Bombyx mori: one gene and its partner. The protein of the gene in region 2 purifies or fractionates together with the protein of the main gene of each other region. This does not show direct contact. Links are inferred from orthologs where the notes say so. Each region holds a gene or a part of one and is shown on either strand. Other genes may lie near its edges.

Region 1 (4,106 bases), on a different chromosome or scaffold from region 2:
TACCCTTCAGACCGAAACGCATTACTGCTTCACGGCAGAAACAGGCAGGGCGGTGGTACCTACCTACGCGGACTCACAAGAGGTCCTACCACCAGTAAAACTTGACACTTGACACTTACTGCTTCAGCACAATAAAAGGTTTTCTCATCGGTTTCAGCAACAAGACTGACTCCAAAACCCGGACTCTTGCCAGCGTTCGACCCTCGACACTGGTCCGTGTTGATGTAGACATCCGGTAGAAAATTAAGCATCACCTGAAATATAAAGATTCTAAATGTAGTGACCCCTTTATAGAATTGCAGAGGAAGACACATAATGAATTCCTTAAATATGAGTTAGTAAATTCATTATAATTGGAGAAAATACATCACAGAATGGCCTACAACTGATGAAAGTCTATGAATGTAACATGTTATTCAAAAAAATCGGTTGTCTGTAAAATCGGTTTACTGATGATAGTTGAATGTGAGTGACAACATCATAAGAAAATACTGATGGAATGGTTTCATTTTTCAAAAGAAAATTTTAATTTTATTTGTTTGATAGATATTGTCGCTCGTTGCGCGCTCTCGCTTTCACTTCAAGCCTTAAATGGAACGTCTCAGAGCGAGGTAACGCCGCATGAGTCATGTTTTTAGTGCGTGCAGCCGGCTCCATCGAATTATATGACGTTGTCACGTAAAAAATTTGTTATCAACTTACTTTATAGTCTCATCCTTATATCTAAAAATATTGTAGTGTGTAAGCGGGCCCGTTGCCTATTAATGCGTTGCCTATTACTACCACTCAGTAATGCATTTACAGGTTCGATAGTTCTGATATTAGTTAATTGAAATCTAGCCCTTATGTATGTGTGGCAAAATTAGAGTTGTTAGGTATATAGGTCCATTAACCACTTGATACTACTTAAACTAATTAACCGATAAATAATATAATAGAAAAAAACACTAGTTAGGCTCATCTTCTTTGATCTTTTATAGTGGACAAAAACTATTTTCTCACCCCTTTAGCAGCTTCAACAACTCTGTTAGCCATCGTAGGAGACACCCTTAAAGCATACACTATTCCTCTTATTCTCTTCACAAGACCCCATTTGGTCCACTGTAGAGGTCGGAGATGACGTTTGACTGGACATTTAAAAACAACTTCGCCTCCCCCTAATGGTGGTGCTCCTGTAATATAGGTGACAAGTTATTGTAAATTTCTTTAAAGGAAATATCAGATATTAGCCTTTCTTTTTTTTTATAAACAAAATTGGCTCCAACGCCTTAGGCATTTTGCCAATGTCACAGTATAATATGCAAAAACGACGGCCGCTTAGAAAAAAAATACCTAAATACAAATTTTATCAGTTTTCTGCAAAATTCATTTTTTTATTAACCCACTTACATACATATTTTGTCATGTGTCATTTAAAAAAATAGCAGATAGTTAAGGTGGAGACACACAAAACATTAACATAATTAATTCCTTTAAACTCCTAATAAACAACATGAAAAAACACATTGTTTACTTTTGATTCATGAAAATTTTAACGTCAGTTATTTTTGAAAAATTTAATAATTTTGATGATTAAAATTCAATATTATAGACATTTTTAAGAGATTATCTAATCAAATTTACTTTTTGAGGAACTCATTGTTACTTTAGGGCACTGCATTAAAACTATATTTTCAAATCTCACTGGTGGATAGCAATGTTTCTAGAGGAAGTCATGTTACTTGTTAACAAATAACTTTGATCAAAACTAACCTCTTCTCACAATTTTCAGATCCAAGCCATCATCGACAAGAATAAATTTAAGGAGCACAGGTAGCGCTGCCGTCTTTATTTTGTCCACTGATACATCTAGGTCACTGTGGGTTACTCCTTGTAGGACTGCATTTAAAGGTTCCTTACAGAATGGTCCCAGGGCTAGTAGAACTTCAAGATAATAACCTAAAAAGGTTATTTTTTAATTTCAATTTGTCAGTCCGAGGATGAACATAACAGGAAGTATTTAAATGCTGAGTTAATGTTCAGACCATGGTATGGTTTGATTTAGTTTAGATAGTTACATCAGTCAAGCTGATGTCACTAAAACTACTTTCAAAAACAACCAAGGCGTCCTCACTCTGTCAAAACTTATTTTAGTATTTAAACTGGACTCTCCTAGACGGTTGCATGCCTGACAAAAGATTTATTATCCCATCCTATAGTATATATTAACAATATTTATTATGTCCATGCCTTGCTCCACTGAACTAGACTCTCCATGCTTTTAGCTATCAGGAGAATGTGTATGCTGAATTGTCTGAATTTCCAGCTGTAATCAAACTAATATATAATCTTCTAATTTAGAAAACTACATTCCTAATAACGTATTTGACGTGAGTAGAAACTTTATTGAAGACCACTTACCTATCCCTCTCTGGGTACAACAGTTGTGATTAACTTGTCCACCAATCAGTATACCAGGCTGGTAATATACTGAAGTACCGGTTTCGCTCAGCTCGACTCTAGTACCGTTCGTCACTTTATCCAGTAGCCGAATTAAACTGACTTCATATTCCCGAAGACCCGGGTCATCGTTGGTACTGCGAATGTCTTCTATTTTAATAGCACGCCCACTGAGAGTCGAAAGTAGCAATCTTTGACGAAAGTAATTGCTGCCCTTGTATTTTATTACGTCATTTTCAATTACTGCGGGCATTTTAATATAACTAATACTCCGAATTAGTTTTTCGGTGATATGTAAACAGCGAACATGTGCAAACCTCTAGGCACTGCGAGTTAGTCAACTGTCAAAAGTGTCAAAGTAATAGCAATAGTTGTATTTTTTCATCTAGAAAGGCAAAAGTATCAGACCATATACTATCTTTTAAATATTGTGGTATATTTCTATAGAAAATGATGTGGATGAATGAAATGAAGTGAAGTTAGTTTATTTGACTATGATTACGCAGCTTTCCTAGACATATTATGGTATTCTGTGATGGAACCTAAAGTCAGCATTATTTCAATGGATATCAGAATTACATACATGGGTACTGGTTTCGGCTCAACACATTTAATGTTATCATTACTTAATTTTATTTCCTTCGCCTAAATTTCATTTTTCATACAACAATTAAATGCATAAGATTTAACTGGTAGGTACCTATGCGCTATGTTTTCTTTGCCTATTGGATGGACCAATCAAATCAAATAAACATTGCTGTTTTAGAGGTTAGGGCTTTGTATTTATTTGTGTGTTCATTTATAATTCTCACTAAAATAGAACAAAAATATCATGAACGTTTCAATAGATGATGTAGTTTTACCTGGAGATCACTGTCCAGAGATCGTGGCGGCTGGCGAAAAAGGAAAAGTTCTACTAGGTCCTGGACTTCGCAAAGAAATTAACGGTGTTTTTATAACAAAACCAGGCGTATTACGGAAACGAACACCAAATACATACTGGGTGGACAATTATCAGAAGCGCTATGTGCCTTCTAGAGGTGAAAATGTGATCGGTACCGTGGTACAGAAAGCGGGCGATATTTTCCGTGTGGACGTCGGGGGGAGTTGTGCCGCATCGCTGTCATATCTGTCGTTCGAAGGAGCGACGAAGAAAAACCGTCCCGCAATCAAAACAGGCGATGTTGTGTACGCGAAAATGTTAAACGCAAGCAAAGATATGGAACCAGAGCTTGTGTGCGTTGATTCGCATGGAAAAAAAGGCCGACTAGGAGTATTAGAAGAAGGATTCGTATTCAAATGCTCTTTGAATTTAATCAGAAAAATATTAAACCCACATTGTCCATTATTGAACTCATTAAAGAACGAATGGCCATTTGAATTAGCAGCTGGCATGAATGGAAGGATTTGGATCAAAGCAAACACTATGAGAGAGACATTGGCTCTAGGAAACGCGATTTTGGGCTCAGAATATTTGAGTAACGATGAAATTAAAAGTATGTGTAAGAACATAGCAGTTTTACTCGCAGGTCATGTAAGCTAAAATAAATGAAAAACCTTATTAAAGAAATTTGTTTTCTTTTTAAGAAACTTAAATCATTTAGAAAATCTTCAATTAAGAAAATTTAAAGGTTTCATGTTCTGGGTCCCAGAAAAACCATTTGAAA
Region 2 (4,088 bases):
TGTGAGCTCGTCCACACATCTAAGCGAAAAAAAACATACTTATTCTTAAACTACATAGTAATCATTAATATCACAAATCATCGCAAATCCCAACAAAGAGACTTTTAAGACAGAACAATAAAGCACTTTCTTATTGTTAACAGTTACGTATCAGACAACAATTACCAACAATACGGATATAATCAAATCGCAGCGCTTCACAATCCCAATAACAATATCCCAACACTAACGAATTCATAACGCGTCCCACAACCGGTAATTTAAGTAAATTTATTTACCTCAAAATTACTTTTCCTGTATCCTCCGCGTGTGAATAATGCACCCGATAATTACACGTTTGAGTCATGTCTGTTGACCACAGAAACCGTTTGCCAACTAACTGAATTATTGATACCACATTGATAATATGTTCGATAAGATTTTAATAATAGAGATGTCGGCAAATTTTTATTATAATTTTTTTTATCTAAATTTATTTGGGAATATTATTCATAAGTCGCGATTAGATTTCAACGTTTTTTTTTTTTTTTTATTGCCCTTATAGGCAGACGAGCACTTGGCCCACCTGATGGTGAGTGGTTACCGTCGCCCATGGACTTCAGCAATGCCAGGGGCAGAGCTAAGACGCTGCTTACCGTTAAATACTCTCCACAAACCTCGTTTGAAGAAGGACATTTCATAGCACTCGGGAAACACCGTGGAGGGGAGCTCATTCCAAATCTGGATGGTACGTGGCAAAAGAGATCTCTGAAAACGCACTGTGGATGAACTCAATGGCTCCAAGTAGAATGGATGAGCTCTACTCCGGTGGCGGGCGATGCGATGGTAAAAACGAGGTGATGGTATCATCTCCAACATTTCCTCAGACCACTCCCATACTATATAACCTCATATATAACTTCGAACAACAAAGGTGGCTTTGCTTTGCAAGGGTAAATCACTCCAAAAATAAAAACGCACAAAAATTATCTCGATTTAATGTTTTCTTTATTTTGTCGAAATAAAGTAAACACAAATATGGCATTGAAGCTGTGACATATACAGACGGTAGTCATCTAACATCAGAGGGGCCATGAGCTGATCTGATATAATTCTAGGAATCACGAAATATTATAATTATTCATTGAGCGCGCAAAGTGTTCACATATCTGCTTTATAGCTACAATCGCGCAGCAGACTTCTATTAAATTTAATTGGCTATTTGAAACTGTAACAAAGCTAGTTTCGTAAGAACGATTTTTACAATGAAAATCAACTTGCCTTTGTTTAATACTTATTACGTTCGAGTGAGGCCAGTCGTACGCGACGTGTTGTATCTGTCTAATGGAGTGAGTGCTCTACTATAAAACATTGTACATTTTGGCCTAGTATAAGTAACTATAAGTGAAAACATTAAGAATTAACTGAATCTCGTAATCAGCCTTTTTTTTTTCTACCTAAGCTGGTAGCCTTGAGAGGCTATTCCAGCGTAATCCTAACTAGTAGGTGAGCTCACGGGGCTCAAACTTGATGACGTTGCTAACACGAACCCTAGCAAGAGCCGTGCTTCGCAGAATCTACCACCGGATTGGAAACGCGACCCACTGAGAAGATCCGGCGAGAAACTCAGTGGGCTGTGTCTGAGAGTTTACTCGTCGAGCCCTTCGTCGCAAGCGACGGTTTCGGCGAGAACGGTGACCGGTGCTTGAAGTCCCTAGAAGCACCGTTAGTGGATCGGGAGGATCCGAGATGACGTGTTTTGGGCGACGTCGACTGCTTTCCATTCTGTCCGCAGGATCGGGAATGTAGTTTCCGGCGACCACGATGAGAGGGTTCTCGTGTCGGGCCGCTTTATCGAAGTGGCGGAATCAGCCAATGAGCTATCGTACGCTGTACATTGTTGATTCGTCAATTAAGAACCTAAATATTAAGTTATGTTATATCAACCTTATCAGGGATCTCAAACACCTTGTAAATTAACGCAATTAACATTTTTAAATATTATACTCTAATACATAATCACGTTGTTATTTATTTTCTCACGTACTTGTATAGAACATGTACCGTACATACGATACGGTAAATGGCTCAAGACCAATCAAATGATCAATCATAATGAAAGGCAAAAAACAATTTGTAGTCTTTACTTTTGGTAGGACGTGTTGTGAGTCGGCACGGGTAGGTACCACCATCCTGCCTATTTCTGCCGTGAAGCAGTAATGCGTTTCGGTTTGATGGGTGGGGCAGCCGCTGTAACTATGCTGAGACCTTTGAACTCATATCTCAAGGTGGGTTTACGTTGTAGATGTCTATGGGCTCCGATAACCACTTAACACCAGGTGAGCTGTGAGATCGTGCACCATCTATGCAATAAATAAAAAGTCATCTATTTTAGATAGGTTTATCTATTTTAGTAACCAATCATAAATATCGATGCAATCGGACCTATTATCAACCGATTCGCTATTGCACATCACTATTCATGGTTCTTTATTTGAGTTCCTTTGTCACATTTCTCAGTTTTAATTGATTAAGTGTGCAATTAAATACATTGCACGTAAAATGCTTTATGTAGGTGATATGGTATGAAACTATGGAGATGAACATTACTTATTCGATAGGCGAGAGGTAGAATCGCTTGTATCCATTAACATTAATAGACAGGGTGGTGTCCAGCTGGAACCTAATTCGCAAACAATTGTATGTACATAAATAGGTTGAATTTCATTTAAAGTAAAATATATCACGATTCTAGACTTTATATGAACATGATATCGGAAAGTAATTAATTGTGAATACCGTAGAACCTGTTAAATAATTGTGTGTATAATGTAATATATAATTTGAAGTTTGTTAAGGCACAGTATATTAAGAAAAAGAAGAGCGTTATGTTTCGTTGGGAAACTACGCTGTAGATTGGCGAATGTTAATCGAATCTTATTTGTGAGACGCATGATCTGTTGTTAAAATCTTGAGCGAGTAAATTAGCCCACAGACCCAGCTCACTGAGTTTCTTGCCGGATCATCTCGGTGGTTCGCGTTTCCGATCCGGTGGTAGATTCTGTGAAGCACTGCACTTGCTAGGGTTAGTGTTAGCAACGTCGTCAGGTTTAAGTCCCGTGAGCTCACCTAGTTGCTAGGTTACGCTGACATAGGCTCTCAAGGGTATAAGATTCGGTAGAAAAAAATTTGTGGGCTATGATGCACCGGGCGTCATTGCCTTGTGAGGGCCCTATATACCAGCGGGGTACCCTAGGACTACAACAACAACAACAATGATGCACCTGGCGTCTTATCCTTTAAGCCACAACGATGTTGATTGCGCTACGCGTTTTAACAAAGCTAGATGGTGCTACCATCGGACGGTAATACAAACAATCAATACACAAAGTATACATCATTGATAAAAGGATTAATTTTTCCATTGATAAGAGTGCTTCCCAATAGTAAAAATTCACTAAGCCCGTTATTAGTGCCGAGACTTAGTTGTGTCCTTGAGTAAACTTTATTAATTTATAATTATAATTAAACTCACTTGCTGTCCTGTATGAGTTGGGACGTGTGCTGCGATATCACTCCAGAAAAGTTCAGAGCTTGACTGATACTCTGCCCTATTGCATCTTGTGAAGATAGAACCAGGTTTTCCACAGATTTTCGCCTGAATTACAACAAAAATAATTAATGAAGCTATTTTGGTTACTAAAACTCAGAGATATCATAACATGATTTACATGATGGCATACGTAGTGTAGTTTCAAAAAATATCCAATTTTAAATTATCATTATTAATAAATAAGTAAGTAAGGGAAACTACATAAATCATCACTTTCCTTTAATTAATATTTTCTTTTTGTCCTCAAGAACTTGGGATAGATAGCAATTTATAATTTTCTTCAAGGTGATGTTGATGATGAGTTTGCTTTACTTTTTCGATCGGTGAGTGATGACAATAATTATTGGTGCAATCATAGTCATGAGGTACATCATGAACACTATTTTATAATAACTATCATAAATTTCCCTCTATGTATGGCCAGCAATGGGAACACATCTGATCACATCTGCTATTGAAGAACATCATAGGGGCTACAGGTTCTCAGGCCCTCAAG

What was found. Proteins that work in one complex are often made in the same cells at the same time.
Region 1: the proteins of ribosome biogenesis protein BMS1 homolog (region 2) and probable RNA 3'-terminal phosphate cyclase-like protein purify together in Homo sapiens (co-immunoprecipitation; 4 studies listed by BioGRID and IntAct, with this or other methods). This does not show direct contact. The link is inferred for Bombyx mori from reciprocal best matches to the Homo sapiens genes BMS1 and RCL1.

The regions. Positions count from the first base shown.
Region 1 is NC_085114.1:14,714,281-14,718,386, forward strand, and holds the start of probable RNA 3'-terminal phosphate cyclase-like protein, read right to left. Parts: upstream 2,814-4,106; 5' UTR 2,693-2,813; coding exon 2,401-2,692; intron 1,939-2,400; coding exon 1,753-1,938; intron 1,173-1,752; coding exon 1,003-1,172; intron 255-1,002; coding exon 120-254; intron 1-119. Other genes in the region: exosome complex exonuclease Rrp40, read left to right, coding at 3,272-3,982. UniProt on the Homo sapiens protein: As part of the small subunit (SSU) processome, it plays a role in 40S-ribosomal-subunit biogenesis in the early pre-rRNA processing steps at sites A0, A1 and A2 that are required for proper maturation of the 18S RNA.
Region 2 is NC_085129.1:15,212,251-15,216,338, reverse strand, and holds the start of ribosome biogenesis protein BMS1 homolog, read left to right. Parts: upstream 1-1,262; 5' UTR 1,263-1,328; intron 1,329-3,514; coding exon of another isoform or gene 3,515-3,637; intron 3,638-4,088. Other genes in the region: protein Aster-B, read right to left, coding at 3,515-3,637. UniProt on the Homo sapiens protein: GTPase required for the synthesis of 40S ribosomal subunits and for processing of pre-ribosomal RNA (pre-rRNA) at sites A0, A1, and A2.